7 linked regions of the Bombyx mori genome follow. The protein of the gene in region 5 binds, or shares a complex with, the protein of the main gene of each other region. Links are inferred from orthologs where the notes say so. Each region holds a gene or a part of one and is shown on either strand. Other genes may lie near its edges. The genes, in order: protein crooked neck, pre-mRNA-splicing factor SPF27, pre-mRNA-splicing factor ATP-dependent RNA helicase DHX16, beta-catenin-like protein 1, protein CWC15 homolog, cysteine-rich PDZ-binding protein and pleiotropic regulator 1.

What was found.
Region 1: protein CWC15 homolog (region 5) and protein crooked neck share a complex: the UniProt entries of both Homo sapiens proteins name them as parts of the minor spliceosome. The link is inferred for Bombyx mori from reciprocal best matches to the Homo sapiens genes CWC15 and CRNKL1.
Region 2: protein CWC15 homolog (region 5) and pre-mRNA-splicing factor SPF27 share a complex: the UniProt entries of both Homo sapiens proteins name them as parts of the PRP19-CDC5L splicing complex. The link is inferred for Bombyx mori from reciprocal best matches to the Homo sapiens genes CWC15 and BCAS2.
Region 3: protein CWC15 homolog (region 5) and pre-mRNA-splicing factor ATP-dependent RNA helicase DHX16 share a complex: the UniProt entries of both Homo sapiens proteins name them as parts of the minor spliceosome. The link is inferred for Bombyx mori from reciprocal best matches to the Homo sapiens genes CWC15 and DHX16.
Region 4: protein CWC15 homolog (region 5) and beta-catenin-like protein 1 share a complex: the UniProt entries of both Homo sapiens proteins name them as parts of the PRP19-CDC5L splicing complex. The link is inferred for Bombyx mori from reciprocal best matches to the Homo sapiens genes CWC15 and CTNNBL1.
Region 6: protein CWC15 homolog (region 5) and cysteine-rich PDZ-binding protein share a complex: the UniProt entries of both Homo sapiens proteins name them as parts of the minor spliceosome. The link is inferred for Bombyx mori from reciprocal best matches to the Homo sapiens genes CWC15 and CRIPT.
Region 7: protein CWC15 homolog (region 5) and pleiotropic regulator 1 share a complex: the UniProt entries of both Homo sapiens proteins name them as parts of the PRP19-CDC5L splicing complex. The link is inferred for Bombyx mori from reciprocal best matches to the Homo sapiens genes CWC15 and PLRG1.

The regions. Positions count from the first base shown.
Region 1 is NC_085124.1:5,696,829-5,701,367, forward strand, and holds the start of protein crooked neck, read left to right. Parts: upstream 1-1,528; 5' UTR 1,529-1,691; coding exon 1,692-1,730; intron 1,731-1,803; coding exon 1,804-1,989; intron 1,990-2,334; coding exon 2,335-2,450; intron 2,451-3,340; coding exon 3,341-3,497; intron 3,498-3,591; coding exon 3,592-4,539. UniProt on the Homo sapiens protein: Involved in pre-mRNA splicing process. As a component of the minor spliceosome, involved in the splicing of U12-type introns in pre-mRNAs.
Region 2 is NC_085118.1:940,861-945,334, forward strand, and holds the start of pre-mRNA-splicing factor SPF27, read right to left. Parts: upstream 2,999-4,474; 5' UTR 2,855-2,998; intron 2,685-2,854; 5' UTR 2,542-2,684; coding exon 2,467-2,541; intron 1,759-2,466; coding exon 1,595-1,758; intron 783-1,594; coding exon 570-782; intron 1-569. Other genes in the region: WASH complex subunit 3, read left to right, coding at 4,058-4,114, 4,272-4,436. UniProt on the Homo sapiens protein: Required for pre-mRNA splicing as component of the activated spliceosome. Component of the PRP19-CDC5L complex that forms an integral part of the spliceosome and is required for activating pre-mRNA splicing.
Region 3 is NC_085110.1:11,489,365-11,493,711, reverse strand, and holds the start of pre-mRNA-splicing factor ATP-dependent RNA helicase DHX16, read left to right. Parts: upstream 1-1,497; 5' UTR 1,498-1,652; intron 1,653-4,347. Other genes in the region: WW domain-containing oxidoreductase, read right to left, coding at 423-546, 815-843. UniProt on the Homo sapiens protein: Required for pre-mRNA splicing as a component of the spliceosome. Contributes to pre-mRNA splicing after spliceosome formation and prior to the first transesterification reaction.
Region 4 is NC_085121.1:10,823,010-10,827,314, reverse strand, and holds the start of beta-catenin-like protein 1, read right to left. Parts: upstream 3,001-4,305; 5' UTR 2,798-3,000; coding exon 2,768-2,797; intron 2,688-2,767; coding exon 2,493-2,687; intron 2,010-2,492; coding exon 1,863-2,009; intron 1,600-1,862; coding exon 1,468-1,599; intron 914-1,467; coding exon 754-913; intron 621-753; coding exon 529-620; intron 1-528. UniProt on the Homo sapiens protein: Component of the PRP19-CDC5L complex that forms an integral part of the spliceosome and is required for activating pre-mRNA splicing.
Region 5 is NC_085110.1:8,228,475-8,232,444, reverse strand, and holds the end of protein CWC15 homolog, read left to right. Parts: coding exon 1-105; intron 106-361; coding exon 362-641; intron 642-857; coding exon 858-962; intron 963-2,982; coding exon 2,983-3,120; 3' UTR 3,121-3,331; downstream 3,332-3,970. Other genes in the region: protein 60A, read left to right, coding at 3,912-3,970. UniProt on the Homo sapiens protein: Involved in pre-mRNA splicing as component of the spliceosome. Component of the PRP19-CDC5L complex that forms an integral part of the spliceosome and is required for activating pre-mRNA splicing.
Region 6 is NC_085130.1:5,681,094-5,685,549, forward strand, and holds cysteine-rich PDZ-binding protein, read right to left. Parts: upstream 2,967-4,456; 5' UTR 2,705-2,966; coding exon 2,532-2,704; intron 946-2,531; coding exon 816-945; 3' UTR 737-815; downstream 1-736. Other genes in the region: drebrin-like protein, read right to left, coding at 3,846-4,456. UniProt on the Homo sapiens protein: As a component of the minor spliceosome, involved in the splicing of U12-type introns in pre-mRNAs. Involved in the cytoskeletal anchoring of DLG4 in excitatory synapses.
Region 7 is NC_085129.1:1,617,313-1,621,563, forward strand, and holds the start of pleiotropic regulator 1, read right to left. Parts: upstream 3,016-4,251; 5' UTR 2,787-3,015; coding exon 2,671-2,786; intron 2,384-2,670; coding exon 2,256-2,383; intron 1,782-2,255; coding exon 1,545-1,781; intron 1,126-1,544; coding exon 1,039-1,125; intron 517-1,038; coding exon 431-516; intron 70-430; coding exon 1-69. Other genes in the region: uncharacterized protein LOC101740918, read right to left, coding at 4,039-4,251. UniProt on the Homo sapiens protein: Involved in pre-mRNA splicing as component of the spliceosome. Component of the PRP19-CDC5L complex that forms an integral part of the spliceosome and is required for activating pre-mRNA splicing.

The sequences.
Region 1 (4,539 bases), on a different chromosome or scaffold from region 5:
AAATTCTCATTGCATTATTATTATAGCTTAGCCAACTAAGCCAACATATTTAAATCACCTCTTAGTGTCTATGGTCTTCCTGTTTAATTTAATTTCTTATTAAATACGTTACATTTGTTCCATTTCATTCTTCGTACAATATTTTCAGCCTTAGTTACAAAATATTTGCTGTATGGCCTAGTTACTTTTGTCTGTCCAATAAACGAACTAAACATTCTCTGTGGTTCGATGGCTTAGTTTACATATTACGTGTATTATCTGTGCTATTTATCATAGATACCTACCTACTTGGCTTAAAAAACTTTGTTTCGAAGCCACTAGAAATTTATAAAAAAAAATCTACCTACTACCTACATATCACTACTAAAGATGGGTTAATACCGATATTTGTCAATATTAGCGAATACGAATATATTCATGATGTAATATTATAATAACTTAACTAATGCGTGAATATATCCTGATATCTTAATATACTTCGATAAAACGGGTAAACGAGTTAACCGAGTACGGTATTCGTGAAATAAGTTAATAATCATAGATAATACACATAAATTAGTTATTAAATTAATATAAATAGTATACTGTATCTAGGAATTTGATTTCATACTAAATATTTTACAAGTAATATTATGTACATTAATATGAATATTATTATTAAACCAGAATTTGGTCAACATTGTACATTAATATAAACAACAAGTTAGTAATATTATTTATTTCTTATTGGTGCATAAAAACATCAGCTTTTTTACTTTTTCTACCGAATGACCGGTACGTCGCTCAGAAATGAGTATTCCAGATTTCGAAAAAATCCTCTGATACGGTACTGAGGTGGCTAGTAGGTACACAACAGTTATATTAATAGTATAATCCATGAACCGTTTGGTTAGAAAGTCATTTCGATTCAAAAATCAAACTTTTATTTATAGTTTGAGAAGTTCTTAGAAGATAATTAACTACTACCACAAAAATATATTGTCATCATAATTTATTACATATAAACATTTAATGAAAATAAAGCTCACCGATTTTATTCCAATAAATGTGGAAATGCACTATTTTGTCTTGAGTCGAATCTTTAGTACAAACATAAAAAGTAATGCATTTAAAAATTCCCACTGGCATCTTTGACATGTAAAAAGTGCAATACAAAATAGTCCTTAAACTCATAGCGAAATATAGTTATTTTCATTGCTCAGTATATAAACATGTAGATTATCTCACTTACTCTTAGCGCATGCAGTGCATTGATATGAATGTGATAAACAGATATCCGCGAGACACGTACGGCGTATGTCAGTATATTTTCGTGTGATAGATATTTCGCTAGGAGTAACAGTGTTCTGTGGATAGATACAACCCGACTGATGTGAGCTGGCTATTATTATGAATAAGTGAATACGGAATATTAGCATATCAGAATTCGACGGATTACCGATAGACGAATACAAGCTGTATTACGAATATCTTAGTGAATGCTAATATATCGGTATCACCCTTAACCACTACCTACCGTATTCACTTCTCTTAAAAATGTGTATAATCTATGCTTCTCATTTTGACAATAAATAAAAAAAAAACCTGAAGATTTCCTTTCCTGTACTTAGCTGTTTATTGTATGTAATCAAATTAAATTTAGGTTAAACTGAACTAAAAAATTATAAACTGTGCAGAACGTAGAACTTAACATGGACAGCAAGACAACAAAAATGCCGAAAGTGGCAAAGGTACGAAAAAAGTGTTTGATGGTATTGTTGAATAATATTACTCCAATTTTAACATGGATCTCACGATTTTTAGGTGAAGAATAAAGCACCAGCAGAAATCCAAATAACAGCTGAACAATTACTTAGGGAAGCCAAAGAACGAGACCTTGAGATATTACCACCGCCACCTAAACAGAAAATATCTGATCCTGAGGAACTTCGAGACTACCAACATCGTAAACGTAAAGCATTTGAGGACAACATAAGAAAGAACAGACTTGTAAGTAAATTCAATTTATTAGTCGCTTACAATGTATAAATGACTGTTTTTCCTATTAATGTAATTGTTTCTCAGTTTTAAGACCATCCAATGCTTAGTTTTACTAGCTGATAGAGTTCACCAAATTAATTTCATTAATTGATTTCGTGCCATTACGATCCTTTGAACAATATAGGTTTCATGCTGTTTCCACAATAAGAAGGGTACTAAACAATTTCTACTCAGAGCATTACTGACGAAAACCAGATGAGGATACTTTTATTTAGTAGTATTTCTTCAAGAAAACAACAAATAATATAATAATATCGAATTTTAGTTTAATGGATGCTTTGTTTTTGTTTTCAGGTTATTGGGAACTGGCTTAAATATGCACAATGGGAAGAATCACAAAAGCAAATCCAAAGAGCTCGTTCAATATATGAGCGTGCTTTGGATGTGGATCACAGAAATGTTACCTTATGGTGAGAGCTATCATTACAATTAACAATTTTATTTGAAAAATTATTAACTTATGTGCTCTTGGTACTGCCAGTGTTTAAACCATATGACTATTTTAAAAAATGTTTGAGAAATCTGTGGTGTTAATTTTTTTTTGCATTCTTGGCTCATCTGATAGTAATTGTTAGTCACACTACTGAGTACTCTTTGTAAGCCTCATTTGAACAAGGACATATTGTTGGATCACTCAAGACATGGGCTTTAGAACAAAATTCATGTCACAGTGAAGAAAAAAATTAATTCTTAAAGAGTTACCATACAAAGATCAGCTTATAATAGAACATATAAAAAAGATTCCTATGTCACTCTGTTCACATTACAATTTTATTTGGTTAGTAAACTTGTAGACAATTGTGGACGAAATGTTAAGATGTTTGATATACTTGTAATGACCAATACAACTATACTAGAGTTCATAGCCTTTGTGCTACCTAAAGCCCAATATATTTAAGGAAATACATACCCGATATGAAGAAATTTCATAAGTAAATAAGAACAAAGTGTCATTACAAAATTGATACTCTATTAATGTATTGTGAACTGGCATGTAATATATCATCCTGCCTATTTCAACAGTTATGCATTTGGTTTGAATTGTCCAACAGTTGTTTTATAAAGGAATTGAGACTTCAATCTCAAATTGATGCCTATTTAGTCCAAGAGCCACTTATTTAACAAATAAAACAATCTGTACTTTGAAAAATCTGTAAAAGTCATGGACTTTCTTGGTAAATTTCTTACAGTTTTAACTGTTAAATTTGCGTCACTCTTCAATTATCCACACTACCTTAACTACCTGTACTTTAGGCTGTTATACCACACCAAAATATTCTCAGCGTATCATGGGTTTTAGGCTGAAGTATACTGAAATGGAAATGAGGAACAGACAGGTAAACCATGCCCGTAATCTATGGGACAGAGCTGTTACAATTCTGCCAAGAGTATCTCAGTTTTGGTACAAATATACTTACATGGAGGAAATGTTGGAAAATGTAGCTGGAGCAAGACAGGTGATATTTTTTATACATGTACAATTTCTCGTATAATGATAATAGTCACTGACTGTAACTGAAACAAGGTTTCTAATTTACTTTTGTTTCACAGGTATTTGAACGTTGGATGGAATGGCATCCAGATGAGCAAGCTTGGCAAACATACATAAACTTTGAATTGAGGTACAAAGAACTTGAACGGGCTAGACAAATCTATGAACAGTTTGTTATGGTGCATCCAGATGTAAAGAATTGGATAAAATATGCAAAATTTGAAGAAAACCATGGTTTCATAAATGGCTCTAGGACAGTTTTTGAGAGAGCTGTTGAATTCTTTGGTGATGAAGAATTAGATGAAAGACTGTTTATAGCGTTTGCCAAATTTGAAGAAAATCAAAAAGAACATGACAGAGCAAGAGTGATTTACAAATATGCTCTGGATCATGTCCCAAAAGACAGAAATAAAGAACTTTATAAAGCTTATACTATTCATGAAAAGAAGTATGGTGATAGATCTGGCATTGAGGATGTAATAGTAAATAAGAGAAAGTATATGTATGAACAGGAAGTTATAGAGAATCCCACAAATTATGATGCATGGTTTGATTATATTAGATTAGTGGAGAATGAGGGTAATTTAGATGACATAAGAGACACATATGAGAGAGCAATTGCAAATATCCCTCCTTCAAAGGACAAACAATTTTGGAGGCGTTATATTTACTTGTGGATTAATTACGCTTTATATGAAGAGTTAGAAGCAGAAGATTTAGATCGAACAAGACAAGTTTACAGAACCTGTTTAGAATTAATTCCTCATAAGATATTTACTTTCTCAAAAATATGGCTCATGTATGCTCAGTTTGAAGTGAGATGTAAAGATTTAAAGCAAGCAAGAAAAACACTTGGTATGGCTCTGGGCATGTGCCCCAGAGATAAATTATACAGAGGTTATATAGACCTTGAGATACAGTTGAGAGAATTTGACAGATGTAGAATATTATACCAGAAATTCTTAGAGTATGGTCCAGAAAATTGTGTAACATGGATAAAGTTTGCA
Region 2 (4,474 bases), on a different chromosome or scaffold from region 5:
CAAATGACAAAACAAATTACAAATTTAAAATCTGCTATTTTATGACCCATTCTTAACTTTCGTGGAACTTCTTAACATTGTTTTTGTATTGTTTTCTCGTCAATATTGAACCTATTCTATTTCGTGGAACTAAATAACGTTATTATTTTATGGCATTCTTTTCGAATGGACACGTGTGCCTGTGTACCATCTTGTTTGTCAGACTTACTCAGTTTATCGTTAATCAATTGCTGTCATTAAGTGATAAACTTAAAATAGTGAATTCGTTTGAATCCGTAAAATCTCTAAATGAAATTCAGAGGGAGCATTAGAGAGAAACTCGGGTTAGTGAGAAACCTCTATAAGCGAGAATGAGATTGTGCTCCCTTGAACTCTCGCTTATCCAGGTTTGACTGTAATAGTTTGGAGTTATATAAAATCCTACAAGCAGTTCTAACCTACTGTTTCTATGAAAGGCAATAAGGGTCAAAGCAACAGACAATTACTTCCCTAGGCTCTATAATCGAAGATAGACTCCCTGTCAAACTAACAACCATTTAAATATAATTTCTATGTTATACATCTCTTACCGTAACTGGTTGTGTTCGTTTTGAGCTCTTGTGACTAATGCTTGAAGTGTATTGAGGTATGATCTCCATGCTTCTGAACCGTACTCTAACTGCAACTCTAAATTGAGAACTCTGATAGCTTGGTGTGACAGCTGTGCATGAGAGTTGTCAACTGACTCGGCCCAGGCACTTGGTTCACTCATTCTTCCGACTGGAGGGGGTGGAAGTTCATACCTGAGGAATTAATTATACATAATATTTCAATAGTTTTTTTTTTAAAACCACATTCCTGTGCTTCACTACATCACGTGATCACTCAATAGTGATGTTTGTTAACATGACCAGAGGATTTGGCATATTAACAGTCAGCATCACAAGATACCACTTAGTAAAAGTTACAGACCTACATATTATATCTCCTCACAATCTTACTATTACTTCATTATCATCATGTTCATACTGTGGCATCAGTAGCCAGGCTGACTCAAATACCAACTTAGCTTACAAACCTATCAACTTAATTGAAGTCGTCGTGGCCTAAAAGATAAGACGTCCGGTGCATTCGTGTTGAGCAATACACTGGGTGTTCGAATCCCAGGCGAGTACCAATTTTTCTAATGAAATACCTACTAAACAAATGTTCATGATTGACTTCCATGGTGAAGGAATTACATCATGTAATCAAAATCAAGCCATTAAGCAGGCCGAATGCAGGCAGCATTGGAGGAAGCTGGTGCAAAAGCTGGACCAAGGTGGTCACGACCCTCAGTAATGAGGAAACGACAAAGAAGAAGAAGAAGAAGAATCAAAATCAAACCCGCAAGTTTTTATTTACGTAATTACTGATGGTAGGACCTCTAGTAAATCCGCGCGGGTAGGTACCACCATCCTGCCTATTTCTGCCGTGAAGCAGTAATGCGTTTCGGTTTGAAGGGTGGGGCAGCCGTTGTAACTATACTTGAGACCTTAGACCCTATATCTCAAGGTGGGTGGTGCAAATTAAAAGAACAAAATAATAAATAAAAAAAATTGCAGGTTTTATGCACCTCTTCATAGACAATGGTTCCATCGGCAATCTCTGTTGCACTCTTTCCATCTCTCGTTGTAAAGCAGGAGTTTCAAATGCAGAACTTGGTTCTGGTCCTGCATTTTCAAGATAGTTCTTTGTGGGTCTATAGCGTCTGCACTCTTCTTCCACCATGGCCAATGCCTGAAAATCAATTCCCATATTTAAGGGTAGTTTAAGGAGTCTTCTATAAGTAGGTTTGATTATAAGGACATTTTATACTGCAGTATCAATAAGAAGTGCTTTAATAATACTTTTTTGAGACAGCTTCCCAGTCACACAATCAATTATTACAATAGCAATGAAACAAAATAATAAAATCGTGAATTGAATTGAATTTGAAATTGACATTAAAATTGAAAAAGAATTGAAGCAAAAGTGCTTTGTAGCTTACAGTGTATGCAAAAATTCCTAGAAGTTCTGCATTTCCTAGACTGACCAAGATGAATATTACCAAAATTACTTCGTTTTGTATCACTCAATGCAAAAAGGAACAAACAGAAATCTAATTTCAAATTGATCTTTGGCAGTGGTCGAACCAAGACTATACAAATCGGTTTATTCTAAAGGTGAAATTATTCCATTTCGAAAAAGGAAGTCCTTCGAAATAGCATACATGTTCAAGAAACAACGAAAAAAAAACATTTTTATATAAATCTCTCAGCGGTGACTGCGCATTTTGAAGCAGACGAGAATATAACCCACATTTGTGAAGTGTGGTCGTTCAGACCAGCAATACCAAAATGATTATTGAATTTCTTTCTCTAGATGTCAAAGCTAAAGCGATATGAATCTTTGTTGTAAAGGAAATGGTCCAAGAATTAAAAAAAGTAAGGTTATCATAATACTTACAGCTTCTCTTACTCCAGGATCGTCATATCCTTGGTCTATATATGGTAATGCATCTACGACAACTTCTCCTGCCATTTTCTACAAAATTTATAACTCCCTTTACTACGAATGGGTACTGTGATTTATCACTTTATATTAAAGTTTTAACGCTGTTCTTTGTTTATTTGATTTTAGTTGTGTCACTTGTGTGACATTCTTCGTTTGAGCTAGTTTTAAGCCTAAAATGAACAGGCAAAAGAAATATAGTCCATATAGCTAAATCTTTTGAATTCCTCGATATTCAATAAATTGATATTAAATTAATATTATATTATAAAATGGAATTTAATGAAAGAAGAACACATCGAGTAGATATTAGATGAGTTGATAATGAAACAATGGTGCTTACTGAGAGATCAACGAACTTATTTTGAAAATATTCTCGAGTGGCAGCCACACACGACGCAGCTTAGATAGACTTTCGACGAGGTGAACTGACGTCCTACTGAAAGTCGCAGGAATCTAATAAATACGGTCGCTGCACGTCTAGGAGTGGATGATTTGTGTGAACACGTCCAATGTTTGTTTGATTTTTTAAAACTTGTGCCATTTCACATGTATTCAGTGATTAAAAAGCTTTCATTACTACAAAATTAGACATTTTATTACAGATACATTCGCGAAGCAGTTGCCCTTAGCTGTTAGATCTCCTACGGAGTCGTGGCCAGGTCAGGCCTTCGGTACTTTGGAGGATTGGCTTGTGCGGCTTTTCGAAGCCTGCCTTGAGCCCGGACGGAAATCGGACAGATTCATCCTTCTGAGGAAAGAGGAGCTCCTCTAGGAGTCATCCGTGGTGTACCACCACATCGTGTTGCTGGACGAAACTAGAAAATTGTTGGAGCAAGTCGTGGATGCGTCATCTGCCCCATCCCCAGGACGGGTTCCAATCGGTCAGCCGAACAGTACGGCTTCAGAAAGGGCCGGTCTACCATCGACGCAATCATGCGTGTGTGTACCCTCTTTGATGAGACTGTTGCCCGGGGCGAGGTGGCAGTTTCCTTAAAGTCTCAGTAAATAACCATCATTTTACTTAGATTTCACGCCAATTGATTATTGTTTCAAATTAATCAACTCTATTTCATTTTACTTCATATTATCATTTTTCATAAAATACAATGATAACTTAGGCTGTATCGTATGATACTTTTGCCTTTCCAGTTGGAAAAATAGAACTACTACAAATATTGACAGTGGACAGTAGCACTATTGTCAAAGAATAGTGTTATATTGATAAATGTAAATTAATGATAATAATGTCAGACTTAGGTGGTGGTACCGTACCTACTGTACCTACTGAAATATTCCTTTTAATTTGCTTACATACTCTTTTAACGTAAATAAATAGGTACGACTGTCACGGAAGGAAAAAGATTGTTATTGTAAAATAATTAGGTGCTTTTTATATTAAACTTAGTGTAATTAAAACTCGTGGACCTATTAGTCAATGTATTGAAATGTAATTCAATTTGGTTTTTTCAGTAGAACAAAACAAATTCAAGCTTCCAAACCACAAGACAAATTTCTTTTTCGTCTTGTTTATATTCTACTGAAAATGACCATCCAAGAAGATTTAACTCAATCCGAATCCCCACAAACGGATTTAACTAAGGTTTTAAATTTGGAATTATTATTATTTGTTGTAAAATTTAATGCAGTACAAACTTCACGGCCTTGATTATCTTTATAAACTTCCTAATTCTAGAAAACACAATATTTTTTTATAAATGAGAATAATTTATTTTTAATATTTAAAAAACAAATTGCAGGTTGCGGCATTACATCAAAAACGTACATTGGCATTTGTAAATCATTTCCTAACAATAAATGTACAATTTCTGAATAACTTTATGACGAATTGCGAGCAGAAACTGATGCAGTTTGAGAGAAAATTAGAAAAAGTTAATGCTGCCATGGTTTTGTTAGAATCTAAGGTGATTATATTTTTATAAATTATTGTATGTAAACAAAA
Region 3 (4,347 bases), about 3.3 Mb from region 5:
ATCTAGTGGCATCAAAATAAAAATATCTAATTTCGGACATGAATAAAAATGTGTGAGTGAACATCTCGCTATTTCGCGCGCACTCCGAATTTGAATGGAATAAATGTCATAGACTGCAGTACTATCTGTCTTCTTATTTGACTACTAGCCGCTCTACCGGATTTAAAGAGTTTTGCACCTAACTCGTATTATTATCAATTTAAAATACGTTTAGATCAAAATAAGGAAAAAAGAAAACAGAATATTTATTTTCGTGCTTTGTTCGTCTTGGTGAGAAGAAATCGAATCATCTTGCCACTCGTCTTATTGGAAGTGGTCACTACAAAATAAATGAAATTAATAATTTAAATGTTTATGCATTGGTTGCATGTAATTCATATTTTTACGTAGACATTAACAGGACAAATTTTAATGTAACAAACCTCTTCGCCAGTTGGTCCGTGTATTCGAAAATTTAAATCAAAATAATTTTCAACCAAAGATTTGACTTTAGAAGAACTAAAGGCTCTTACTTTATCATTTAAAATGAGGTTTCGAGTTGTGACGCTGAAAATGAGTGATTAATAAAATTAAATGTTAGAAAAATTACTCACATGACTTTATATTCTTCTCAGCCGCTAATTGCAATTATTTTTAATTGTGATTAATCGACTAATTTATAAAATACCAGCTATTCCAAGTAGCTTTACTTGCCACACAAAGTAAGCGCATTTTTGAAGAACATAACATTTACTTAGCCGTCCATTCGAAATATCGTAGCGCGATATGAGAAACCGATAAGTCGCAAGTATAATTTTACAGTTGGTATACTTACGTCGCCATACGATCAACAAAACGTAGCATAACTTAATAAAATGATACTAAAAACAAACTGTATATATTTGCTATAAGGAAACAAAGCAGAAAGTATTGCACATAAACCGTATTTTTATTTTTGTACAGGACGTGTCATTAAAAATATATGTAAAGAACATAGGTAGAGAAAACAATCACTTTCTGGTATGAAAAGTAGGTTTACATATTATTATAAATCCTCTTTTCTCAGTTTTACTTCATGCTGTACTAAATTACAGGATCTTTTAAAGATTTTAACGGAAACTTTATCTTTTTTATCTACGGATATCTACAAGGCATTCACAGCTTTTACAGCGCGTCCTCAAGGATGCCAATCTGCTCGCGCAGCTGTTTCGCGAATGAGTACATATACATCGAAAATACTCGCATAAAATATTAAATTATTGTATGTTTTTATTCCTGTAAATGAACAGGAGCTCGTAAAGCATCTAGTTTAAGCGGTTGCCACTAAAGCCCATAAAAATCACAAAACAAGATTATATATAATTTTGTTCTACTTCTAATTATTTCGGTTCGTTTTATTTAATTTTACTCTCAAAAGACGTGTCTAACTAGTCTGACTACATGTACGGACTATGTTCCCTTTGCTTTATAAGTGAACAAAACATGTCAAAGTCAAAGTGAAAAATAAAACAATCAATTTTACTAAGGAGACGGTGTTTGATGGTTAGCACATGCGAACGACTTTTCCTTTTAATTTTTAATTGTTTGTGTTTTTGGTTATATTTTTTGCTGCCTATATCTATCTGTGTTTGTTTTTCTTGTTGTGATTGTCAAATTTTGTGTGAAGTCATAAGGTAAGTTTTCATTTATTTAATCTCGCGTAGTCAATGCGGGCCGATCATGGAGGTTGACGATCGACCCCCTGGACGTCCCCCAGATCCTAGTTTAACCTGGAACGATGAGGGACAACATCCTCAGGGTGATTTTACATACTCACCAGTCCTTACTGTACCATTAACTAGTTTCGAGTCAATTGAGGCACATCATCGTAAGCGAGCTCTCGAAACCAACAATGATAATGATCTTGCTTCGTCTACTTCCAAACAACAACGACCGTTAGCACCTAATAAGTATAGTCGCGAACGCTATTCTGCGAGGGATGTGGCTCCATTTTTGGTCCATGTTACTCGTACAGAATCTGACCCGAAATCGGGAACTACCCTCCACCCCATTAAGTTTGGACAGATGATGATCAAACTTAATATTAAAAATGTTCTTCCTGATGGAGTCAAAAAAATAGGTCGGAATAGGATTGCTGTCCAGTTTAAATCTCCAGAGGATGCAAACTCATTTTTGACCAACAAAGAATTGCTAGAAAATGGATACTCCTCATTAATCCCGACTTATAATATCACTAGGATGGGTATTATTAAGGGTATGCCTAATGACTGGTCAGAAGAAGAGATAGCTTTAAATATTAAGACACCATCTGGTTGTGGCGGAATACTGAAGGTGAGACGCATTAATCACAAAGTTATTACTGATGGGGTACCAGAGTGGAAACCTACTTCCTCTGTGGTTCTTACATTTGATGGTCAGACCCTCCCAAAACGTGTCTTTTGCTGCTTCAATTCCCTCCCTGTAGATATATATTATTTCCCTACTGTACAATGCTTTGGATGCTGTAAATTCGGTCATACAAAAACTCAATGTCGCTCAAAGCCCCGCTGTTTCCGCTGTGGTGATGAACACTTTGGTGAGAACTGCACTAAAGAGGACCCAACTTGCTTTTATTGCTCTGGACCTCACTGTGCTAATAGCAAGCAATGCCCTGAATACCAGAGACAAAAAAATATTAAAGTTGCTATGGCCCAGAACAACATCTCATATGCAGAAGCATCCAAAACATTCCCTACTGTGTCAAAGTCCTTTGCTGATGTTTCAGCATCAGTCCCTCCCACAACTCATATTATTCCTTCAGCCCCCTCGTCCTTACGTTTCCATCCTCAGACTTCCTCTTCCTCCTACAGAAAAACGATCCTCCAGAAGCCTAAAAGTCATGCCCCTCACGTCCCGGGCTATGATCAAAGAACCCATAGAGCTATTACTAATTCCTACTCTTTTTCTCCCTCTACTAATGGCTGCGCTCTCAGTAAAAATTCTTCTCCTTCTGAAGATATTCCCTCTAGTGAAATCTTCTCTCTAATTAAACTACTAGCTTCTCTTTTAACTAAAATTAACCTACCTGACCACGTTGCCAATGACATAATTGACACTATTTTTTCCCACCATAATGGATCTAAATCTCTTGCAGTGGAATGCCAGGAGCGCCCTCCCAAAAAAACATGACTTTCTCCATTTAATCAATTTATATAATCCCGCAATCTTTGCAATTTCTGAGACGTGGCTCTTGCCACATCTCCCATTTCACATCCCAGGTTATAGCACCTACCGTGATGACCGTGATGACGGGTATGGTGGTGCTGCTATACTGGTCAACAATGTCTTCCCTTCTTCTTCTCTTTCTCTTCCTCCTCATGGAGCCGAGATTAATGCCATTGGTGTTAACATCCTTGGTATTAATTTTATCTCCATTTATTTCCCTCCTTCTGTCCCTATATGTATTCCTTTCCTAAGAAATTTATGTATTTTATTGAACCCAATTATTCTTATGGGAGATTTTAATTGTCATCACTTCTTGTGGGGATCTGACCATTGTGACGCTTCAGGTACATATTTGGCAGAGCTAATAGATGAAATAGGGTTATACGTCCTTAACGATGGATCAGCCACTAGACTCCCTAGACCGGGTCAAAGCAGAAGCTGTGTGGACCTAACACTGTGTTCATCCACACTAGTAAATTCCCTAGACTGGAAACGTCTTAATTCAACATACGGTAGTGATCATTACCCTATTTGTTCTACCTTTTCCAATAGGTCTCTCCCCAGCAAAAATAGAACTCCCTTATTGCAGTATCGCATTACTGACGCCAGGTGGGACATTTACCAACAGAATCTAGATAAAAGAATCCTTTCCTTTCCCCAAATCTCTTTTGACAATTTGGATGCTTGTTTGAGTTTGTATTCAGATTCCATTTCAGCTGCTGCAGATCTGAGTATTCCCTTGAAAAATTCAGCTTTGGGAAAATTATCTTCTCCTCCCTGGTGGGACAGAGAATGCACAGACCTTATTAAATCCCGGAAAGAAGCTGAATTTAATTACATCAAGAATATGACCCTCTCCAACCTTCGGGAATTTAACAGAATAGTGGCTAAATCCAAGCGCACATTCAAGAAAAAAAAGTATGAGAGTTGGAAAAAATTTTGTTCCTCTCTTTCACCTTCATCCCCGTCTTCCCTAGTCTGGCAAAATTATAAAAAATTTAGACGCGGATGCTTCCCTCAAAATTCTCCCAATATCTCACGGAGCATCGCCCTACAATTCATTAACAGATTGGCTCCTGCCTATGCTCCTCTTATTGATGAGTGTCCCTCATTGGCAATTAATATGCTCGCTGTTGATCCTTTAGACGAACCTTTCTCCATAAA
Region 4 (4,305 bases), on a different chromosome or scaffold from region 5:
TTTTACATTTTAAAATTAAAGCAAGCGTATGTCTGTGAAATAAATGTATTTAAATATGATTTTGGAGCGGTGTTTAGGTGTATCCATATGAAGTAACTGTTAAATCAAAAGTTTTATATCAAGAGTCAGGCAGTTCTTCAGTGGTTATTGTGAGCACATAAAACTGTGTAAAGGTCAATATGCGAGCGTTGTCTACAAATTCGATAGTTCAAACATATTTTTTTACGAACAAACTTTCCTCTAAATGCTGTTAGCATTATTTACAAAAAATATTATTTAATTTATATGCATTATGTACGGCATGCTAATTATTGCACGGAACATTTGACTGTGGCTCCGACTAGGAGCTTTGGATGAAGAGAAGGTTCTCATTTGGAGTACATTCCTTTCTTGGTTATATATTTAGGAATATTTTTGTGAAGTTCTTCACACTAGGATAAAAGACTGCACTGAAGGCAGACATGCTTGATAAAGCATCTTAGATTTGGTTCAATTTTAGCTATAATTAAATAAAATTAGTATGGTTACCTTCAGTCTTTTTAGAATCCACTGTAAAAATCCTTGTTTTGCTACTTCAATACAAAGCTCTGGTCTGAATTCTGTGATATTTTCAATAATACCTTAAACGATAAGACAAATTTCATTATCTCAGTTATTGCCATTATATATTTATCATTCTATCATAACATATCATATTTATTAGTTTGTAGTTAAATGGTTAAAATGAAATTCTTATATGATATATTGACATACCCAGTGTATTATGGACAGCGTCTCGTTCATCTGGTACCTGCTCATCCAATCGAGTCAGGTTGTGTAGTAATAATGCAGGTGCTTCAGCTTCAGCCATTGCATTTATTAAATCTTCCGCACCTTCCTCACTCTCATGGAGTATGTCAACATCTGTCATTTCCTGAGGTACATCAATTGTAAATATTATCAGAATTACAATTTTATTACTAGTTTATTACTATGGCAAAATATTTTTTTTAAATATTGACAATAACTGCATGAAATGTCATCATTATTTATTTTGGTACAGTAGGCAGTGGTTTGGCTCTGCCCCTGGCATTATAACATAGATGTTTGTTTGAGATAAAAGATATAGAAGTAATAATTGGGTCAGTTTTTATTTTTGACCATTTTTTAAAAGGTTAAACCCTTTCTTGTAACCTACATTTTACGGACAGAAACTGTCATATACTCTATATCAGTATTGCCACATATAAATATGTAATTTCATTGAAAATGACGCACAACATCTGGAAACACAAATAAATGATTTGCATGAGTTTATTTAACCCATAGACTGCCCAAGACTGATACAAAAGAAAGAAGCCCGAGCCCTACAATCCAGCAGAGGGTAATAGGCAAGAAAGAAGACATGAGTTTTTTATCTTAGTCATGCTTACACTGGATACTGAGCCCAGCAATATTGTTTTGCAAAATTTATAAGCATATACATACCTGTAGCAGTTGAACAACTTTGGTGGAGACATCAGTATTATCATGTGATAGTAATTCTAATAATGAGTTCACACACTTTAATTCCACAAGCAGAGGATACTGGTCTGGTACTGTTGCGACAGCACTTAAATCCTGTAATAATTACAATTCTTATGATTTTTTTTATTTTTTAATGGCATACATGAGTGAATAGCCCACCTGATGCAGCCAAAATAGTATTATGTAAGAGCCTAATGCAGCCAAAATTCCAATAATATTATGAAATAGTTGTTTAATACTTCAGAACAGAACACATAACTAAATTGCAACAGAAATAGGATGGTTGCGCAAAGCCTTGAGGGCTGATAATGAAGTTAGTATCAGATTCTTCTGAATATCATAACACAATATTATACCTGTAATGCATCATGTAAATCAATTTCACTGTCCATAAACTTGTCTGGCTGATCAGGAAATTTAATCCTCATCTCTCTATTTCTAAGTGCTTTCTTTTCAAAATTGAGAACTAGTTTCTTCACTGTGGTTTCATCTAGTACTTCTCCCTGTAGATTCAATACATTTATGAGTTTATAATCACTATCTTAATTGAATAAACATTAAGAAGTATTTCAGATTATGAATTAAAATTGTTCAGAGCTTCTGACTCAATAAACTAATTTTCTTTTCATCTTGCCCTTTCTATGTATGTCTGTCATGAGTATGATCTTATTTATTCCGTTGCATCTTTCAGGGCCCGAGGAGTATTCACTCCTACTTATTGCATTAATACATAAAATGAACTCTTTTCATTTGGGATTTCTATAATTCATCTGTTACATGTCCCTCTTTAAATTATGTGTGAACAATGACAACTTCGGAGGTTAGCTTGGTTTTTCTATTAGCATTAATGTCCATAAGTGACAAAGACCATTTGAAAACAGGATTGCCTAATCTACCTTTGATGACAGCAAAATATACAGGATGGTTTAAAAACTATTAATTTTTGTTTCATTCTTCCTTAATTTTACAAATAATACAATAATTACCTCTGTTACTTCAGTGGCAACAAATTTAAGAATATCTTCTCGTTCTTTATCAGTAATCGAGGGTTCCTTCAACATATTCTTGCTCAAATGTACAGGTTCCTGTTTAAGTTTGGTGGTACGACGAATTTTAGCACTTTTGGCTTGATCCTCCTCATCGCTCTCATCTTCATTTGGCCGTTTTGGTGTTGGCGTAGGCTGCGAAGTTAATATTTATGTTTATTCGTTTTTTTGTTGAATTAAATAAACTGTTGCACCGTTATGATATAGAATATTACTTTGAATGTCAATAGCTCGGCAACATCCATTTTTTGTTTTAAGCGAAAAGGTAATTTTTGGGCTTATTACGTATTGGTGATATTTTTAACTGTCCTGAGTTTTCATATTTTAATTCAAACTTCTCAATGTCCATAAAAGTCCCTATTTTTAAGGTTAGTTTCAAAGGTTTTTTTTTTGTTGTTTTTAATCATATTAAGTGTATAATCTATGGTTTTAATATTATGCCATAGATATTTTTTTTTTAATTTTGTGACCTGGTGACAAGAGACCTTTAGGTCATATCTTCTTATTTGGAAGATAATTTTTAAATTTATGAGCTATGCATAGTTTTTTTTTTTATTGCTTACATGTGTGGACGTGCTCACAGCCCACCTGGTATTAAGTGGTTACTGGAGCCCATAGACATCTACAACGTAAATGCGCCACACACCTTGAGATATAGTTCTAAGGTCTCAGTATTGTCACAACGGCTGCCCCACCCTTCAAACCGAAACGCATTACTGCTTCACGGCAGACATAGGCGGGGCGGTGGTACCTACCTGTGCGGACTCACAAGAGTGTCCTACCACCAGTAAAAAAGATACCACTAAAATAGATACTAGATAGTACCTACACAACTATTTCACCATTTCTTTTTTTATCCAATTATACAGGTGAAGGGATACGATGAATTTCTTGCAAAGTACTAAACTCTTTCTGCAAAAATGTATGTGCCTTTTGAGGAAAAAATGAAACTCGAAAGAATATGGCAAGAAAGGCTACAATAAACTTCTGAGTAAAATGGTGGAAAATGTAATTGAGATAAAGATAAAGTGTAAATAAAGGTTTTCTCGGTTAGTGAGCCCTTTAAAATACCAGTAATGCCATAATAAATAGCTTAAAAAACTTGCAATCACGGACAGCTCCTAGATCCGAAAGCTTGCACAACATTAAAATTTTTACCTATTCAACTAATAATTGTGTTCTCCATTTTAAATGCCGCTATGGCGAGCTGAATCTGTCTCACGGTATGGATCAGAGGTTATCGGCATACCCGAAAACTAGAAAAACTTTAAACGAACCCACGAGTTACTATCCAATTAGCATCTTTCCAGCAATAGACAAATTGTATAAACGTTTGATTCGCTTGAAACGCTTCTGGAACTTCGTCACATCGAAAGGCAAAGGTACAGTCATTAGATTCCGTGCTTAACAGCCGTGCATCCAATGACTGTACCGCCTCACGGAGCACATCTTAGTAAAGCTAAATAGACCCAGACCCATTCCTCATACTCTCGACCTGATGGAATTTCTAACACCAAGTCTAAAAAGAGTGGTGCTTTGCTAAATCACAAGATCACAGGATCGAAATCGCGGCCTGCAGAACTGAAGATCTTCCAAGAAACTTAGGTAGTGTCTGTGGGTTGTACGTTCGAACTCTTCCACAAGAACGTCGACCGGTGCTCGAAATGCTATAAAGCACGGAGAGGGTATCGGGAGGAAATAGCGTGTTTCTAAAACACGGTTTTATAACTAATCGAATATGTTTCTGTTTTTT
Region 5 (3,970 bases):
TGATCCTGCAAGAGGTGGTCAAGGCCGAGGAGAGAAAGACTTAAGTGCTATTTCTCGACAGTATTCCAGCAGAGATCTTCCTGGTCATACGAAACTTAAATACAGGTTAGTTTAGTTTTATTTCTCGATCTAAATTTGGATTCCTATTCGCGAAGTTGGACTTACGACCCGCGTGGTGGTAAGTGCTTAACGGACCTCATAAAAAGCCATCTTGAGACAAGGTAGAGTACTTGAATTATTGTTTTAGAAAATACGCTACCCTTCAAAACCACAATGTATAACTCGTTCAAAGCATAAATACCACGTTTGTAATGCACCAAAATGTAAAGAAAAAGTCAAATATTAAAATCTATTTTAATAGGGAATCAGGTCAAGGGACATCTGAGGAATTACGCTCTCGTGATTTTCGTAAGGAGTTGGATGATAGAGAAAAAGATGTTAAAACTACGACTACAAAACGTACAAGTGAACCACAAGCAAAAAGAACTAAGGTTGATCAAGTTCCTGCAGCAAGTCTTGATGCTGATGATCCTCTTGAAGGCGATTCCACTGACTCTGATGATTCAGATGATGATACTGCTGCATTGCTAGCAGAATTAAACAGAATTAAGAAGGAAAGGGCCATTGAACAAGCTAAAAAAGTAAGATATATCTTAGATACTAGAGTTAGATACTATACTATAAGACTATTTTTGTACTGATGTACACAAAGTATGTTTAAATTAAATTTTACAATATATATTTTTTTTAATTTGTCTAACTTTAGTGTACTTTAGTGTATTTTGATACCCAAACTAAATAAAATTCAAATAACAAATAAACCTTGTTGCACAAATCAATTTTGTTTTACCTTATAGGAAGCTGAAAAGAAACAAGAAGAGGAAAGAATTAGAATGGAGAACATATTATCGGGTAATCCTTTACTCAACTACTCCGCTGCAGGACAGAAGAATGACATGAAGGTAATTAAAAACATTAAAATGAATTTTGTTTTAACTCCTGATAACTGTTTGGTGATTGAACTGAACTGCAGATGTCATTGATGTTGTATTTATCAATGTTGAAGTAATTGTGCCCTAAAAGATAAAGACTCCCGGTGCATTTGTATAAAGCTATGTGACTGTGCCGGTGCTCTCATCCTGCAGACAGGTACCAATGGTAATGAAATATATACTTAACGTAAATTGACAAATGATTTCCATCATGAACAAATAGTGTTTAATAAAGATCGAACCCACCAAAATTATAATTTGCTTAATGAATGGCAGTAGAATGGGGTAGTAATGTGTTTTCGTTTGGTATAAAATCTGATATTTAGAACTCATGTCTCATAGTGGGTGACAACATTTAAGATGTCGATTTCTATGGGCCATGAACTTAATTCACCCATCAAAGGAATAAAAAAAGTGTAGATGACCTTTAGTTTCTGCAGTGGGTAGGTATTCATTTGTTGTAGTACAAGTTCTTCATTCTGGCTAGTCAGTTTCATGATACTACATTATTAAATTACACATTGACCAGGATTATCTTGATAAATAATTTAAATGCATCTTTTAATTGGCATTTGTTGTTTTGCTGGTGTTTTGTTTTTGTTATTTTGTTATTCCATAGTAACAATACTATCTGTGTTTTACTTTTTTTATGGCATATTTATGTGTTTGTATGTTTATGTATGTGTTGTATGTTTCTGTTCTGGTACACTATGGTACTTTTCAAATCTGTTTCAAGATATTATTTTTCATTCTTCCAAGTATGTCTAGCATTGTCTTTTTGGTGTTAAGTGGTTATAAACTTGGGTCTCACTTAGATTATAATTATTCAGAGCTTTTGTTGTGTATTGGTATTTTAGATATCCTTGCCATATGATAATAATATGATGTGTATTGAAACATGTGCAAATAATATTCAATCAGTATCTGTTTTGATATCTCATTGGTGAAGTATACTGACAACTACCAGATAACCCTTTTATACCAGGTTGGCCATAAGTTTGTTCACCTATCTATGCTATAAAAATAACTATTAAAACGTATTGTTGCTATTGTTTTCGGTTTACTTGTATTTGAATCAATATCATTGATACTCCACAGGGAATACTTTAATAATGCACAAAAAAATTATTTTTCCTTTCATTATGCATATGTAGCGGCAGATATTGAGGATTCAAGACTATTAAATAATTTCATTTAGACTTTGGTTGATTCATTATTTTACATTTTCGGTTCTATAAACACTGGTTGCTGTTTTGACACCACAGGGACTGTGATTTTGTACACCCACTAATAAATACCATACAAAAATGCAAAAGTAATTGAAAGTGATTTTAAGAACATTAACATAATCTGCTCAAGCATTGGATGAATCCGGTATTGGAACGCCCAGAGGCACCACTCAGCACAACTCGTCATTAGGCCTCTACATGATATCATTAGAGAGAGACTGACTGAGTTATGAGAGTCACAACCTTCATCTATGAGGGTCGATTAAGAAGAATTTAAGAAGTCGTCGTGGCCTAAAGGATAACTCATTCGGTGCATTCATGTTGAGCGATGCACCGGTGTTCGAATCCCAGGCGGGTACCAATTTTTCTAATGAAATACGTACTCAATAAATATTCTCGATTGACTTCCACGGTGAAGGAATAACATCGTGTAATAAAAATCAAACCTGCAAATTTTAATTTGCGTAACGACTTGTGGTAGGATCTCTTGTGAGTACGCGCGGGTAGGTACCATCCCCTAGCCTATTTCTGCCGTGAAGCAGTAATGCATTCCGGTTTGAAGGGCGGGGCAGCCGTTGTAACTATACTTGAGACCTGAGAACTTATATCTCAAGGTGGGTGGCGCATTTACGTCGTAGATGTCTATGGGCTGCAATAACAACTTAACACCAGGTGGGCTGTGAGCTCGTACACCCATTTATGCAAATAAAAAAAAAGGACAATCGTAATATTATATCTATATTTTTTTTGGGTTGTTCCAGGTAAAAAGAAGATGGGATGATGACGTTGTTTTCAAAAATTGCGCTCGTTCTGAACCGGAAAAGAAACCTAATACTTTTATAAATGACTCATTAAGATCAGAGTTCCATAAGAAATTTATGGAAAAGTACGTGAAATAGTAAATCATTATTGATATTGTAATTCTAAATTTAAAGTTGTTAAAAGCGATTCTATACCTTATTGTAAGCGGAATAGTGATAACGAAGTGGAAATGCTACTATGGATATTACAAACACGTAAAGAAAAGATTGACGAAAACCAATATAATTTTAGTAAATATTATGAAAAAAATGTCATTTTGTTGTTTTGAATAAATTATATGAAAACAAATAGTATTTTATAAAGTTTATTTTCAAGTTAATGTCACGTTACTGATAAAAAGTAATGTTTGTTTCCTCAACAACAGATAGAGGTCAGTTCATTAGCATAATGTGTCTAATTTACTCATATAACAACGAACATTGCTTTCGGGTTCGAAATTTGAGACTCAACTTCTGAGTTTCAGTGGTAAAAATCTTGGTAGTTGGGGTATCCAAACTAAATTAGGGAAGGTATTAAAGAGATTAATTTACAAAAAATTCAAACTTACTGCCCCGATTTGATAATCAATACGCCACCCGTTAAAGTACATAACTGCATTGTTAATGGTAGTAATAAATAATTATTAAATTAACTTATTAACATTCGGAGTTCGGACTGACCAGACTGACGTGTCCGGCGAAGTTGAATGTTTTTATTATTGCGGCGTTGTGAGTGAGGCGTGAGAGGGGAGGCAGTGGTAAGTGCGGAGCAGGCGGCGGCGGCCTACCTTGAGTGGGCAGGTCCACAGCTAGATCCCGCGGCTGGCCATGACGCGTCTCACATCTCGTTAACTCGCCACTAGCCAGTCGCAGACGCTCTCACAACGAATATGGCTGGTTTTGTGCAGTTGGTGTGTGCGTGTTTTGCATTGTTTACTGTGGTCACCGA
Region 6 (4,456 bases), on a different chromosome or scaffold from region 5:
TATGTCATATATGAGTCGACTATTATCAAAGCCGGCAATCTGACTTTTGGACAATGATTGGTAAATCAGAAAAACGAATTATTGACTTTGTATTCCATTGGCAGTCACAAAACTCTTCGGAACGAAATCTTAGATAAATAACAGGTTAACTATTAACCTTTATTTAGTGAAGGTTTTGAACCGTATTCTTTGAAGGAGACGATTATATTCAAATCAATCTGTATTGACATATCAATAAAAATATTTTGTCCAAATGCACAGATTGCCACCTTTGATAATAGACGACTCATATACACATATGTTTAAGTAATATCACCTTCACACTACACCTACCAAGGTTCATCTCTGCACCCCCCTAAGGTAGACTGTTAGAGAATGCCTATGGCATTAAGTCCTTTATACCGTTTAGTATATAAAGTTATAAATAAATAAATAAACATATATTCAGAATTATTCAGATTATTTAGAACATAGATAGGACAGATGACAACTTGTAACAATCATTATAATTTGTCATCATTCATGAGTGTTAGAATTATTCTCATTTCATTTTTGAAACCGATTTCTTGGATTCAAGTCTTGATTATCTGTAGTACCGCTAATTGTGGGTGTTCATAGGTTGGCATTACAATCCTATCTGTTTATTCCTCGAAGCAATCACACTTTACCATCCGTGAGGAAATTTCCAGTATCTTTATTATTATCTTAAAATAGTCCAAGGCATATAAAGCATTGCTTTACAAATACACTATATTTTTTCTTTTAGAACTTATTTAGGTAATGTTTCTTATGAACTAGGATAACATAACAATAAACTAAGTTGAGCTCTGTCTGTAATTCTTAGTGTCTAGAATCTTCTTTCCACACATGGCACATATACCCTTTTTGTATGCACAAGCTTGGCAGTAATGTGATCCGACCTGGTGTACTTTCGTTCTGCAGATTCTGAAAAATAAAAGAATATATTTTAAAAACTTTTAATACATTTTACTGGAGGTATGGTTAGACCTAATAGACGCCTTTGAAATGTGGAGCTGGAGAAAAACGTTACAGATTCCATGGAATGCCTTTCTCACCAACGTGACTATTCTGAGAGAGCTTAATATCATAACTAGTCTTTCCAATATATGCCTTCGTTGGGTGCTGGAATTCTTCGGACATATTGCCCGTAAAGAGGGTCACAATCTAGAACAGCTGATGCTGACAGGAAAGGAAGATGGCAAACGTCCAAGAGGATGCAGTACCACGAGATGGTCGGACTAAATACAATCTTCTCTGAACATCAACTTCCACAATGTCCTTCATGAAGCTAAGGATCGCAGCAGATGGAGGGAAATCGTACGGAAGAAACTGATGCAGCGGGGGAGTTCAGTAATGAGGAAAACGACACGAGGAGGTGGAGGTGGTATGGTGTAATGTACTGAAATAGGTTCCACAAACCTAGTTATTGCAACCATAAATTTGTCCCATTTTCAAAGGAGAGCCATTTTTAAATTCGAATAAATCTTCAACTGCATCTCTTCATATAAAAACAACGTACACATTACAATCATCTATGGCCCTATTAATCTACCCATGTAGTGTACTAAATAAATCACTCAAGAGAAGAAGGGATAATGAATATAAAAAACATCCTTCAAACAAGTAACAACTAACTTTTATTGTATTGTTATTTTACATATTGGTAACTAAAAGTCCAGCAGTATTTAGTGTGTTTGTCTGAAGCGTTCGGGATTAGGAAGTATTATTATGAATATATGAGGCAAAATTGGGGAAGTATTATTAAGAATGTATGAGTTAAAATTGGAGAAGTATTATTAAGAATGTATGAGTTAAAATTGGGGAAGTATTATTAAGAATGTATGAGGTAAAATTGGGGAAGTATTATTAAGAATGTATGAGGCAAAATTGGGGAAGTATTATTAAGAATGTATGAGGCAAAATTGGGGAAGTACTATTAAGAATGTATGAGTTAAAATTGGAGAAGTATTATTAAGAATGTATGAGTTAAAATTGGGGAAGTATTATTAAGAATGTATGAGGTAAAATTGGGGAAGTATTATTAAGAATGTATGAGGCAAAATTGGGGAAGTATTATTAAGAATGTATGAGGCAAAATTGGGGAAGTATTATTAAGAATGTATGAGGCAAAATTGGGGAAGTACTATTAAGAATGTATGAGTTAAAATTGGAGAAGTATTATTAAGAATGTATGAGTTAAAATTGGGGAAGTATTATTAAGAATGTATGAGGTAAAATTGGGGAAGTATTATTAAGAATGTATGAGGTAAAATTGGGGAAGTATTATTAAGAATGTATGAGGCAAAATTGGGGAAGTACTATTAAGAATGTATGAGTTAAAATTGGAGAAGTATTATTAAGAATGTATGAGTTAAAATTGGGGAAGTATTATTAAGAATGTATGAGTTAAAATTGGGGAAGTATTATTAAGAATGTATGAGGTAAAATTGGGGAAGTATTATTAAGAATGTATGAGGCAAAATTGGTTTTTAAACATCAGGATTACTCACTTGCACTGTTGAAATGTGGAAGTGTACGGATTAAATCGTCCTTTTTTGGCGGTTAATGCTTTGTTTTCTCCAACAACACGTCCGCCGGACTCCACGGTATTCCTAGCTCCAGCCTTCCAAGGGTCCGGCGTTATTACTCTGCCCAATTTCTTTTCGCACTTCTCACAAACCATTTTTGTTCTGTTTCTTACTAACCTAACGAGCTTGTATTAGTACGAAATTTTATTAAATTGTTGTTTTGACTGAATAATATGTAGGTTATATTAATTAAATATTACTTATCAAATATTAAAATATGCTCTGCTAGTGAACAGCTAGTTTTATTAAGAAATCATAGTTAATACACTTAATATTTGTTAGAAATAAAATTTATTTAAGTTGATGTTGTTACTAATAGTTTTCTTTTGAATTGTCATTTGGATAGGCAACAGGAATGAAGCCCATACAGTCAAAACTTGTACCGAAGTGCGGTTCCGTGTCTGTGGTATTAAAAGTGGAACTAAAACAATACATAATACAAATTGAATTGGTTCTGGAATTAAATTGAATAAAGAAAATGAAATTCAATGAATTAATATAAAAGACGGTCAGGACTTAGATGAGATGAAAATACCTTGCAATCAAATGGGTGGACAGTTGGTTTACTAAGACGGACTTATTCTTCCTATTTTCCACGGACTTTTTGGAAGGGCCCGTTATGCCACGGCCTATTTTTCACTAAGACTACGGTTAATATTTCAATGTACTTTTACGAATTCTAATCGATTAATATGTAAATTTTAAGCCTGAAGAGACATTAAATTAAAAAGTAACAGCTTGAGTGCCCGCCAAATAGTCCTTAATGTTTCGTGCTGTATTTTCTTCAAATTAAATAGTGTAACGTCGGTCTCATGCAAACAAGAACTGCTTGGCAGTCCAAATAGGTTCGAAGCCAACTCGTGCCACTTATAAATCGCATAGTCCTACACGACTTCTGTGCGCACCCTGACCCTTAAGTACTTTGTATATTGTTTTAGAAACCGTCAAGACAAAATCGAGATCATGGGGCTTAAGTTGAAGAAAAAAACAAAATAATCACGTTTTCCCTGTAGATAAAAAAAACATCAAATAAAACATCATATCCAATTGCAATATAAGTATTGAGCGATTTATTAACTCGTTTCTCGATAAACATTTCAATAGATTTTATTATTCAACACATTCAACTTTCATAGTTTATTTATCCGACGCCGAAAGCTAATCTATATTAGTGGCACGTTACTCTATCAAAAGCGTTGTAACGGAATGTTGCAAGAAATAAAAACATACGAATTGCTAACTCTGATGTTCCTCCGCCATTTTCGTTGGAGCATCACTTGGATTTGTGTCATTTGACTCTGGGTAATATTGTTCTTGTGGAGCCTCCGCTGTGTTCTCATAGCTTTGTTCGTAATTCTGCTCGGGTTGGTAGTTGACTTCGGCTATGTTGTTGTATTGTTCTTCGCTATATTGCGCGTTGGGGTCAGCATATTGCTGATATTGTTCATAATTTTCATATTGTTCGTTTGCGTAAGTCGGCTCCTCGTAATTATTTTGGTATTCAGGTTGGTATTGCATTTCTGTTGCTTCGTAATTTTGTTCCTGTCCAATGAAATTCGCATCCTCTTGATAAGTCTGTTCTTTATGCTCTACGTCCATTGGTCTTTCTGATTTAATTGGTGCATCGTTTTGATTTTTGTAGGGTTTTTCATCATCTTTGGACATCGGTTGAGATTGATGTTCGTCGGTTATTGTTGTAGGCTCTTGGTGGTCGTGATGCTCGGGTTGGAGTCGCTCTCTGTCCGTTCGGTCTGTATGTCCGGTGTCTCCGGGGGACTGATCTCCGGGATCGTCGTGTCCGGGAGAGGAAGCAATAAAGGGTACGCTTCTGTCGGCTGGAGTATAGT
Region 7 (4,251 bases), on a different chromosome or scaffold from region 5:
CACGTCGAGGCGCGGGTGCAGCGCCAGACACACCACGGCCGACAGGTGACCGTGGTACTGCCGGATCACCTGCACACACAACGAACCGATCCTAAATACAAAAATTCATCTGCTTTATATACATATAATTATATGGAGTATTTCAGAATGAATAAACAATAATGAATTAGTTGTGGTTTCTGTGATATAGTAAGAAAGCAACATATAAAGCCCTTAACCTCAATTAAAGAGTAAACAGTACATATTATTAATAATAAACTATACAAAACTGAACTCTCTTTTTCACTTCACTCCATGACACTGAATAACACTGAAGAAAAATCCTTTTTAAAATCTAAATAGTTTTAAATAATAAAAGTTTTCTTTACATATATTTAAAGACATATCATTTAACCTATATTTTTTTGTTATTTATAGGTCAATAACTCACTTTGTTATATTCTAAGTCCCAGCACTTCACCTGTCTGTCCTCACCGCAGCTGAATAAATATGGATGTCTTGGTGACACTACCACTCCTGAAATAGAATATATTCATATTACACATACTGGTACTTGATGGATTCTTAGATCATGATTTTCACAATTAACATAGACTCAACCTACGGTCTCTGTGCGTACAACATGATGAAATATCCAGAACTGTGTTAATGTGAAAATTATGATCAGAACTTGTTATGTAATTCTGTAATATACATAGCAGCAAAAGTTTGAAAAAATTAAAAATGTCTACTATTACTAAAATAAAAAATTACTAAATTAATTAAGGAACCGAAGATTGGGTTTAGTGGCGAGCTTTGGGGAGGCTTATGTCCAGCAGCAGACTGCCGCAGGCTGATGATGCTAAAAAAATTACTAATTTAGTAGGCAGCGGCTTGGCTAAGCCCATGGCATTACTGAAGTTCCTGGGCGACGGTAACCACTCACCATCAGGTGGGCAGTGTGCTTGTCTGGGCAATAAAAGAAAAATGCGTTCATTATTCAAAATCTGAAAACCAAGCATTGATTTTTGCATGAATACAAAAAGTGTGCGCACCTACCTCTTACTGTACTCACATGTCCAGTGAGAGATACTTTTAGTTTCCCACTTGCTAAATCCCATACTTTTATCACTCTGTCAGCGGCACCTGAAATATCAAAACCATCATGCAGATTAATTCCTTAGGATTGGTTTTATTGTAATGGTTGTGCTAAAAGTTCATTATAACAGAAAAATGAAGTAACTTTAATCATAAATCAAGTTTATTTTTTCAACCGTTCATAGGACAACAGCTTGTCTACACAAATACAATATATTGATTATCTAACTGTCAAAGTTTATGTTTTGTGTTGTATTGATAAAAAAGTCTTATAAATAAGTATATTTAATATGTAAAAATCAAACTTTATATTAATAAAATTTTTAAGATTGACAAATTTGTAATTATAATTCTTACCACATATCCTTCTTCTAATTTATACTAAAAGGATTAAATATATTAGTTAAATGTTGGCATATTAGATGCCATTAGTTTGCTCTGTATGTGGTTTCTATAATTTTACTTACCGGTAGCAAACCACTCATTTCCAGGTTCTACAGCAACACATCGAACCCAACCCAGATGACCTGATATAACACGCATTAATTTCCAGGGTGGGTGCCATTTTGGTTTGGGCATAGACGGCGGTTTCCGTGGTACAGTTAAAGCCCCCGAGGGGGGAGCTGGTGACGGTGAAGGTGTTGGTCCAGAGTATGGGACAACAGCCCCTTCCGACGGCAAAGGTGCAGTTTCCACTGTTTCTGCTAAAGAAAACATTCGATTTATTTCATTGCAATATCAAGGAGTATTGGACCGATTTTTTATTGAATGTAATGAGCATAGAACTCATGAGGTCCACAGCTAAATTCTTGCTGTTTTTTTATCATAACGAAAATGCAACTTTGTTGTAAAAAAAATTCCATAAAAATGAATAATTTTTTTTTTGTTTCTGTATTTGATCCATATTTCTGGAATGTTCTCGATTTTTGTAGAGATATCGTATTGACTATAAAAGCGTTGCAGAGATGACATGAAAGCAGTTATTAAAAGGATCTACTCAAAGCGAAACAGCAAACGGATCACCTGAAGCGAAGCGGAAGAAGTGAATTACGAATTGTAAAGTGTTTGGTAAGTGTTCTTAGTTTTAAATAGAGTTTTAATATGTACTTCAGTGGAAGTTTTATTTATCCTGAGCCTAAGCGCTTAACCGTATATAGGAGTTTGTTAATTGTTTTTACCTGTGGTCAGTGGAGTTTCAGGTCTACAGGTGACAGACTCTTGTTGTTTCAGGGCCTGAGCCTTCCGCACTGCACCCATGACTTGTCCGTAACTATCTCTTGCTTTAACCAATTTCAGTACTTTCTCTCTGTTAATGTAAAATTATAAATAATAATTATCTACTCTAGTGTTTTATGTAGTTATACATAACGTGACATTTTCCTCTAATTTATTTACCTTGACAACATTGTCTGCTCCCATAAAGGTTTTCTCCAGTACAGTAGAAAGTTTTAAAGGTTTAGCAGAAATTTTTTGATACGGAACAACAAATCGCTTAGTTTGTCTATTGTACCGATCTTTGAAATAGCTCATCGATTATTTCCATTAGGACTTGTATTAAACTAACCTCAAATAATATTATTCTGTTTTACTTACGCTTTATCGTCGATTGGCGGCAACATTCCTTGATTAGCTAGGAACATATCGTGCGATCTTTTCAACGATCGAAACACTAAAGTGTGTACAGAATGTTTAATCACGTCCTCAGACATTATGAAGTTATTAATTAATGTCTAAAATTACTTAAAGAATACGAAATACTATTAACTTGTAATATTAAATCAGCATTTAAATTCAATTTTATTTTTAATTAATGCATATTCCTTATGATTCTTACGAAAAGCTTTTTGGTTTTAACGGTGTCGAGACCAAGAAATACCCGACAACAAACAGCAACAACTTTCCTACAAAATAAATCCTACGTCAAACAAACGTCAAATGGACGGTATGAGCAGCGTCACTGTCAAGTGTCACTGTACAGATAATAAAAAATTTGGGCAAATGAATGCAAATCTCGATTAGCCTGCAACAAACATAATTATTATGATTTTTTGAAATTACCATTTTAATTGTTTTAAAACAAACATTTTAAATTCCTCTTATTGAGCTGAAATACTAAAGGGTATTTGAAGAAAAAATTTATTGTTTGTTGTTTATGCTTGTTGTGACGGATAGAAAGTACGGATTTGGCTCAGAATTTTATCAATAATTTAATTAGAGTTTGCTCCTAGAAATGAAAAAAACACTGTTTACACAACGTCGATTTTATTCATAAGTACAAAATTCGAGCATAAAAATTCATTGCGAAGAAAATTGTGGAATTGATTTTCAATAAAATACACAGTGGACTATATCTATATTTACCTCTAAATTCACAAGTAGGTACGAACATGACTAGAAATTGTGCTTACAGACTAGAAACTAGACTAGATACAGCTGCTCACTAGTTTTCGAATATTTATTGATTTAATGATAGCTATTTGTTATGTTAAATTACATACAATAAACATCCTCCAAAGTATTATTTACATTGTACAGTGTGCCTGGTGCGAGTTGTTTTAACTTCTCGATCGTGTAAAAGTTACTCAAAATTGTATGGAGCTGGGGCAGTTACTCTGCGTTTGCCGCTAAAGGCGCTGTTCCAACTCCATACAAATGGTACTAAGCACATTGTACTGTTCAACACACAGACTTGGAATACTTAATAAGTGCATACACAATATTTACATAAACACACAATTACCGTAAAAGAGCATTTTAGTATTTATGAACGAATGTTAATCACTGAACTACCAGAAATTTCGACGACGATTTTTCAAAACTAAAAAAGCATTACACTCAGTGAAACAAGAGTCAATAGTACGGTTGTTAAACGAGACGGTCAACGTTCGAATTTTCAATCGACTGCCAATCGTAATCGATTTCAGTTGTATCGGCGACGGAGAATACCGCGCCACTCTCGGTTCAGATGGCCGATTTCTCTGGATTATTAGCGTCGCTAACGCGGCGGGAGTGGGGCGCGCGGCGCAGCGTCCTCGGCTGAAGGTTCAGAGGAGGCAAGTTGGGGCGTTCGATCCTGGTTGGCGATGACACGAGCGGTCTCGTTCTGCGCAGCGTCTCGATACCGTTACGGAAGTAGTCCTCAGCTCTATCGCTGTAATTTTCTATCAGGGGCGC